Linked DNA regions of Oryzias latipes. Each later gene encodes a partner of the first gene's protein in a complex. Links are inferred from orthologs where the notes say so. Each region holds a gene or a part of one and is shown on either strand. Other genes may lie near its edges.

Region 1 (4,436 bases):
CTGCGGGCTTTTGGGGGTATGTCACCCGGTGCATCTGGCGCGTCGGTGTTCCCCCTGCGCCTCAGTCACCACACCACTTAAAAGGGATTCCCCAATTATTACCGCCAGTCTCTCATCAAGAGAGGTCAGCTCAGGCTGTCATTGCCAACAAAGGGTTTTCCACCAAATATTAGTAATGACCATTTTGTTTTCAGTTATTTAATTTGTCCAATTACTTAGGAGCCCAAGAAATGAAGGGATTGTGTTTAAAAAATGCTTTAGTTTTTCACATTTTTATACAATCTTTTTGTTCAACCAAGGCTGAAAGTCTGCACTTCAATGGCATCTGAGTTGATCTGAGAGACACGTTAGAAAAAACGTGTCTCTGTCCAAATATTTATGGTCTTGACTGTACATCTTTATCACAACAATGCTATAGGTGCACAACACAAAAATCCTAAAATACTTACAAGAATCATGGCGACATGGGAAAAACGTTCATAAGTCTGACATATGTAAGCCAACCCAGTGTCATCCAGCAGGATCTTTTGCAGTATGAAAGTAGCAACCTGATAAAAAAAAAAGAATTATAGTCAATGGTAGAAACATGAGTTAAATTCATACCATAGATAAATGCATGAGAGTAGGTTTTAGAAAACCAAAACCCAAATCTGTTAACACATATTTTGAATGTTTGACTCCAAAATCCATTTTTTTCTTCCTGCTTGATAAAAACTGCTTTTGATTTCATTGGTAATTACCGTCTTGGAGAGTTCACTTCCAGATTCCATGATGCGAAGACAGAGTGGGATGATTTCCGTAGTAAGAAGGAAGTTTATCACTTCTTGTTCATCGGTTTTCACCAATGCACCTGTCAAGAACACACAAACAAATCAAGATCTGACATAAACAGAATTATCAGAGCAATACCTAAAAGAGAAGACTTTTTAAATTAAAAGTAAAATCAACAAAAACATGATCTCAGCAGGAGAAATTACCTATGACTCCTAGACTGGTAAGTCGCAGGTACTCAAATGGACGCGTTTTACTCACAGTGTGCAGAAAAGGGTAAAGGAAAAGAGGAATATGGGCAGCTAGAAATGCTGACCTGGTGTGGACAAAACAAATAAAATCATATTAATCAATGTAACACATTAAACCTTGCAAATGGAAATAAGTTCGTTTTTTTTTTTAAATTATAGTGAATTGAGGAATTACATAACAAAACCTTAATATTAAACAATTTATTTAGACCATGGCCTTAATAAAAATGAAAATACTATATTTATTATCTTTTAACCGCTTTAAACTGAAGATCTGCAAAGGCTAAATGCTGGAAAAATCCACTATTCTGTATGATGTATGTATTAAAAGTGACTGATGACTGTTACTTTTTAAACAAATAATAAACAAATAAATAAAACAGATTGTGGTCTGTTACCCCTTTAAAACATTATAAGAGCAGTTAATTATTAGAATTACTAAAAATAAAAAATAAAAATCTGATTTTTCAGTAACAATAACTATCTTGTTACCGTGTCTCTGGATGTGAGGCAACACACTGCAAAAGTGCCAGGGCATTACACACTCTATTTGACTGGTGGGCTGTAAGGGTTGGTGGGTTAATAGACGGATAGATGTTTACTATTTCCTGAAAAAAAAAAAAAGGAGGACAATTTAATTAACAAAAGGAGTTGTTTAACACCACTACAAAAATAAAGACCATACAAGAGGCACAGATGCACAAACAGTCCCAATGGGATGACCTGTGTCAAATGAACAGGTGGACCAATACCTGCAACAGGGCAGCAATGGTGCCACATGAATGCCAGAGCATTGGGGCCAAGTCTGGCACGGATTCTCGCTTCTTGCTGAGCTCCAGCAAAGCATTCTCTCTAGTCTCTGGACTGGACAACTCATTGATCCACTGGTAAATCTTCTCACGGTCTACTTGGGCCAGGGCTGTGACGTTGGTTACAGCCTTTGATAGGAAGAAAATATCAATCCATTCGCAATCAATTCTTTAAACAAGCAAACAAACGAAACACTCAAGAACAAAAACATTACGCTAATTAAGATATATGTAACCTACGTTTAATTTCCCCCTTCTGCAAACCCAAATCATGAAGAGGAAATGACAGCGTGTAAATTTGTTAAATGTCTGCTATGACAAATTGGGGCAAAATCAAATTATTTGTCAATTTAACTACAAAAACGTCTCATGATTTGCCAACTGCAATACATGTATACCAAAACCATACTGTACTACATTTGTACGAGGCTTTCATTAATATTATGCAGTCTTTCTTTGAAAACTGCAAAGAGAAGTTCTGCTTTAAAATTAATTCAATAAAGAAAGCTGAAATTTGGGAGGAAAAAAAAGATTTTCGATGTACTTAGGCGAAATTGGAGGGAACGTCACCGTGAGAGCGATGCAATAGTTTGATACTCACCGCTCCCGTTGCCAACATTTTGGAAAGCTTTTCGGGATCTCAAAATACTCTTTTAATAGAAAGTTCGTCAGTTTGCACCTCTTCGCAATACTCGACCCTGAAATCTCACCGTAAGAACCATGGACATATGCTTACGAACTGCTAGCTTAGCTAGTTGCTAGGTGCTCTAACAAATGGGATCCACAACATGCGTAACTTCACATAACTTCAATCGAAATCCCAACACTGAGAACTACAGAAGCACAAAAAGAAATTATTGTCGTTATAGTATCAATAAACCAAGTTTACACTGGCATTTTTTTCAATCTCGCGTTTGATTTTTTTTCCTCGGCAGGGACAACTTCGCTACAAACAACGTCTCAGATATCGCGAGAGGAGAACGGAGCGCAATCTCGTTCATCATTTCCGTTGTAAATGTTCCCATTCCCGCCATCATCGCCCGTTGCTGTGAGGCGTAGTGTGCTGCTCTACTTGCAGCAAACATACAGAACAGCAGGTGAATGCCGGCAAAACCTTTTTTATGCTCTCGAAGGATCTGCGAAGTCAAGTCCACATTCTATAGGTTTGGAACCACCACCGTGATCCTAGACAGGTAATGAAATGACGATGGCACTGAATGTGGTTGTTTTCATCACCAAATTACTGTGTTAGCTAGCTCCCGCTAGCTTAGGAACCAGTGTTGCTAATGTGGGCCTCTTCCATCATATTAAGCGTCTGTTAAAGAAACAAAAACGCCACTGCATGCTTCACATTTAATATTAGATTCATGTTATTCGACTAGTTCGTTGATAGACTGATATTTTTGTTTATATCGTTTGAATCTATGGTTCTGGCCGCGCCACGAGCATCACAACGCAGCTCAAAATGTGTTGCTTCTCCTCTGCAACATTGGAGTTGTCAGTGTTTGTTGTTTAAATGCAGGCTCTACACAAACATGTTTAAAACTAAAATTCAATGACCGTTCAGGATATGCAGTTTGTTATATTTTGTGATTTTTGTGGTGCAGTAATTCATATTGTACTGTTATGCTAACTTGTCACTTTGGATTATGAAGTCCTACCTTTTTCCTTTACTTCAAACCGCATTTGCCATGTTGGCTACGTATCTACATATCTCATATTAGTTTTGTTTCTGTATCTTTTATTTATTTATTATTATAATTTTGAATAACACATTTCAAGTTTTTAGCAAATGTTATTGTTGGCTACAAATTAAATCACTTATAATCTTCAGAATGGCACGTCGGTGCTGCATGTTCTGTAAAAAAAACAATATAGCAAACTAGTTACAAAAATACTAACTTCTTGTTATGTGGCATTTAGCAATGGTAAAAATATTCATTTAAACTGTTTATTTGGTTAAATAGCAATAGCAGTCATAAAAGTGAGGTTGTTTTTGCCATTATAGGCTACCCGTGTGACTATTTCTTGACATGTTTATTTCTTTTGTACATCTTAAATTCAGACCTAACAAGTGGACCATCAGGATAGCAAGCCATGTCAACTTTTGTGCCCAAACTCTCCAGTGGTAGCACTGTCAAGATTCGCTTTAACACCATTGAGCTGGGCGGCACCAAGTGGAAAGAGGGAACCTTTGAAATTTTGGAAAAGGATAACAGAGTTAATCTCTGTTTAAGGTTCAGCTGTGGTGGCGCTGCCAAAACTTTCCAGGTAATTTCTCTTTAATGTATTTTATCTGTATGCTTGTTGGTGTTGTGACAGATATTTAGCATTAGGCATGATGTTTCTGTCATCCCTACTTAGACATTTTTTTAAATTAGTGTAATTTATTCCATTTTGGATAGAACTACACCTATTATTTTATCTCAATTAAAAATTTCAAGCACATCATATGTTGCTGGAGGAAGTTAAATTTCCGTAAATTCAGGTGAACACCTTGCTTGTTTACTTACTGCCACTAAGGGGTGTATTTTCACATCAGCAAAGATCTGATACAAAACCTAAAACTAATTTAGCACATCATTTACATCTTTAAAACAATGTA
Region 2 (3,820 bases), on another chromosome or scaffold:
ATTAGCTTTGCTGTACAAACACGTTTTCCACCTGTCAAAACAGTGTTTCCGTAGAAACCAACGGCGCTACGACAGCTCTGCTGCCCTCGCCTGTGGGCACGAGCGCTCTACAGCTGGTGCCGTGCAGGCATGTAAAAGAAAGATGAAAGATCAAGGAGAAACACAGGGAGGGGCGTTGAACTAATACCAATGATCCAGGTTTCTAGGGAAACGCACTAAAACCTTCTGTTCAGGAGGACCAACCCATCAAGACTACATGATCTCCAGAGATGTAGATTCGGCGCCAAGTGTGTGTTTGTGTGTGGGGTAGGGGTGTGTTAAAAACGATGCGTCAAAGAATTCATGATTTGCACATCAACAACACAATCCAACATCTTTTAGAAAGGAAACATGAGATACATCTTTTATTCACACTTTACAAAAAAAGCTACCCCTTTAAATCTACTACAATACTAATGCCATTCAAGAAACAAAATGTCAAAATTGAACACATTGGTTACCGCTGGGGTGCGCCGGGGGGGGGGGGGGGGGGGGGGGGGGGGGCAATTAAAACAACATAATAAAGGAAGTTAGAGAGGGGCCAATTGATTATTTTTCCTGTAGATTTGCTTCTTTCCTGCATTAAAAATGCAACAGAATTCATTTTTAGTGGTTAATATGGGAGGAATGAGGAAAGCCGTTTCTGAATTTGATAAGTGCTCATCATCCACATGAGCGTTCAAACGATTACGCTGCTGCTCACAGACTTCACTTGGATTTTCAGAATAAGACAAACTGGATTTGCAGCGACGTGTTGACAGGAAAGCTCACTGACCCTCACCCTTTTTTCTTTTTAAAGTTTTCCCCCCACAAAGAGTAAAGGAAAAGTGGGCCTTTCCACCTTTTACCAACACAGAGGTAGGGGGCTCCACAAATGGCACTATAGCTGCAGTGACAAGAGTAGAAAACCTATACAAAGTGGTTGGGTGGGGGGCGTTACAAAGACGATGGGTGGTTTGGTGGGTGGGACGCGTGGCCAGGAAGGAAGCCGGGGGCTGGGATGGGGGTGGGGGGTGGGAGCAGTGCTTTAGGTACAAAGAGGGAGCACAGCAATCAAAGGGGGAGTTTAGAAGACGCCCCCACGACTCATGTTCCTTACAGAGAGGGTCAGTGGACAAAGCATACCTGATTATTAGAGAGGTCAATGGACAGAGTTTATGTGTGTATATATATATATATATATATATATATATATTCATATATGTATATATAACATTGTCACGTCTCATAAAAAAGGAAACATTAACAAAAAAAAAAGAAAGGACAAAATCTTCACAAATGTCTCAACAGTATTTAAAAATAAGAGAAAAGGTTGTTGAGGCGTTCGCCGCTTATAAATAGTGCAAGACAAAGTCAACTGCTACAGCGAGGCACGATGTACATTGGTGGAGGGGGGGGGGGGGGGGGGGGGGGCTGGGTGTATATCGACCACTTAAATGATGAAGAGATGGTACTCGTCCTCGGATGTCACTTTGACCAAACTACTGGCGACGAGGCGAAAAGACAAAGAAATGGCGTCGTTAATGGATAAGAAGCAACAGGCAGAATTTCCTTGCTGCCCATTTTACATCATAGCAAAGAGTCGGCGAATCAAACAAGGGTCAAAAGAGAGGGGTGGGGGATGGGGGGGGGACTGAAGTTACAGTCAATGTTTAGGGAGTGCAAAGTAGTGGCAGCGAATGCCTGCAACAACCTCTTCTTACGTCTTTTGTACAAGCTGGTAATATCAATTCATCTCAACATCAACTGGATAAAAATTTAGCCTTAGTTTACAATACAATCTTTTTTTTCTTTTTCAAATTTGACCATAATTTACTCTTTGTACAAAAAACGCCAGAAAACAGGTCTTTTGTGGTTCATATACAATCATGTAAAGACTGAGTCTAGGTTTCTATTCTGTACAAAGACTTGTGGAAAAAAAAAAAGGAAACCAAGAACCCACTGCTTCTGTGAACGGAACGCATGGCTGGGGGGGGGAGAAAAGTCACTACAGGCCTTGGAGACAGTGCTACAGAATCTGCCCGTGAGAGATCTTGGTGTATGCGAGTGCATGTACGCTTGCATGTTTGGAGTAGGACGGCAACTCCCGACAGTGAGAAGGATGCTGGTTTTACTCCGGTGTGTCCATCTCTGCCTAAAAAGCAATCACAACCCATAAAGGGCGTGATGGCTCCCCGATGGACCAGCCAATCAGCCGAATCCCTTGCTCCTTCCAGGAAATAAAAAAAAAAAAAAAAAGGCGATACACAGGCCACATAAGCTCCTAGCACAAGAATAACCTAACAACTACACAAGCAGGGGGTGAAATAGTCTGCAGAACAGATAGCAGCTGCGCTCAGTTTCTCCCATCTTTCTTTAAAGCTACATGGCGTCGGTGAAATCGGACAAATGTAAGCTAAGGGTTCTGGTTCTCCGGGCTTCTTGTGGGGTTAATGTGCCGGGGCTGGGAGGCATAGACTGTCTTGTAGCACCACAAGAGGCCATGACCTCATAAAAGGCCTCAGCACCACAGCACGACAGCAGGAAAAAAAAAACCCCAACACACGCACACACACACAAAAGCGAGCTGCATCACTCCAGAGAAACCCCTCGAAAAGCTGCTCTAAAACCCCAAACACAAGAACGTTGTTTCCGTGTCCCCCCCCCGAGAGGGGTGCACCATGGACCCGAAGGACAAGAAGAAGCCAGCGGTGCAGGTCTGAAAGGGATGGGTCTGCTGTCTTTGCTGGTTTTAGGTTTATACAGAACAGACAGACCGGCAGACCTTCAGCTCTCAAGCTTTTCACTTAAAATGTCCTTTTTTTTTCAGCAACATTAACCTTTCCTCTAACTCCAAAACATCACAGCACAACATATGAGAGGAAGCCGAAAGAGCCACCATCCTCTGCAGTCTGAGACAGAAGCAAAGCAGGTGGGAGGGGCGGGGGTGGATTTGACAAGGAGGGGGAGTCCAATACACAAAATATGATACACAAACAGGGCTGAATCAAGCAGTTAAAAAAGAACATAAAAAGAAAAACAAAGAAAAATATAGAGTATCTATACGAAATCCCTGTCAGCCAGACCTCACTGTACGAATATTTTACAGGTTTTTTGTATGTGTGTGTGTGTGTGTGGATTTGTGTAGGTGTCTTTCTCCTCCAGCGTGCTGGAGGGAAGAGCTGGTACAGGGAGGGAGCAGAACTGAGAGGGAGGTGTGGTTGCAGCTCCCCCTAGTGGTATGGCAGGGTCTAACTACCTGCGCGCAGGCAGGTGAAGCCCATTGACCTGGGAGGGTATGTTGGGCAGGAGCAACTCCAGTTGAGCAAAGAGGGAGAAGTGGTCGGAGGGGATGTGGGGGTGGGGGCAGCCGGTGACATTGTTTTCTACAAGCCAGTGGGGATCCAGCGGTCCCAGGATTCCCAGCACGTTCAGGTGAGGCTTGGAGTAGAAAATGTAGTCGATGACACCCTAAGGGGGAGGTACATTAAATTAGTATATACATTTGCACCATTTTTGAAAGGCGTTTAAAGCTTTTTTTCCCCCTGCAGCTTCAGGTGTTACCTTAAAGTCAAAGGTGTAGTTGGTATAAGGCATCAGGCCATTCTCATAGGCGCTCTTCAGCTTGAAGCCGTGGGTGATCCTGCCATTCGACGTGCTGTTCTTGCCGTTGCAGTTAAATTTGGTCAGGCAGTCACTATAACGGAGCTCTTTGAAGTCCTTATGGGTGCAGTCCACTCCACCAGTACTCAGGTATTCCACTACACCTAGAGTAGGGGTAAAAAAAATAGATTCAGTCAAA

What was found.
Region 2: cnot9 (region 1) and CCR4-NOT transcription complex subunit 6 share a complex: the UniProt entries of both Homo sapiens proteins name them as parts of the CCR4-NOT complex. The link is inferred for Oryzias latipes from reciprocal best matches to the Homo sapiens genes CNOT9 and CNOT6.

Annotation. Positions count from the first base shown.
Region 1 is NC_019879.2:16,425,491-16,429,926, forward strand, and holds the start of cnot9 (CCR4-NOT transcription complex subunit 9), read right to left. Parts: upstream 2,811-4,436; 5' UTR 2,451-2,810; coding exon 2,433-2,450; intron 1,961-2,432; coding exon 1,775-1,960; intron 1,631-1,774; coding exon 1,515-1,630; intron 1,088-1,514; coding exon 978-1,087; intron 851-977; coding exon 741-850; intron 549-740; coding exon 450-548; intron 1-449. Other genes in the region: usp37 (ubiquitin carboxyl-terminal hydrolase 37), read left to right, coding at 3,929-4,102. UniProt on the Homo sapiens protein: Component of the CCR4-NOT complex which is one of the major cellular mRNA deadenylases and is linked to various cellular processes including bulk mRNA degradation, miRNA-mediated repression, translational repression during translational initiation and general transcription regulation.
Region 2 is NC_019868.2:16,555,850-16,559,669, reverse strand, and holds part of CCR4-NOT transcription complex subunit 6, read right to left. Parts: intron 3,786-3,820; coding exon 3,583-3,785; intron 3,490-3,582; coding exon 3,274-3,489; 3' UTR 1-3,273. UniProt on the Homo sapiens protein: Poly(A) nuclease with 3'-5' RNase activity.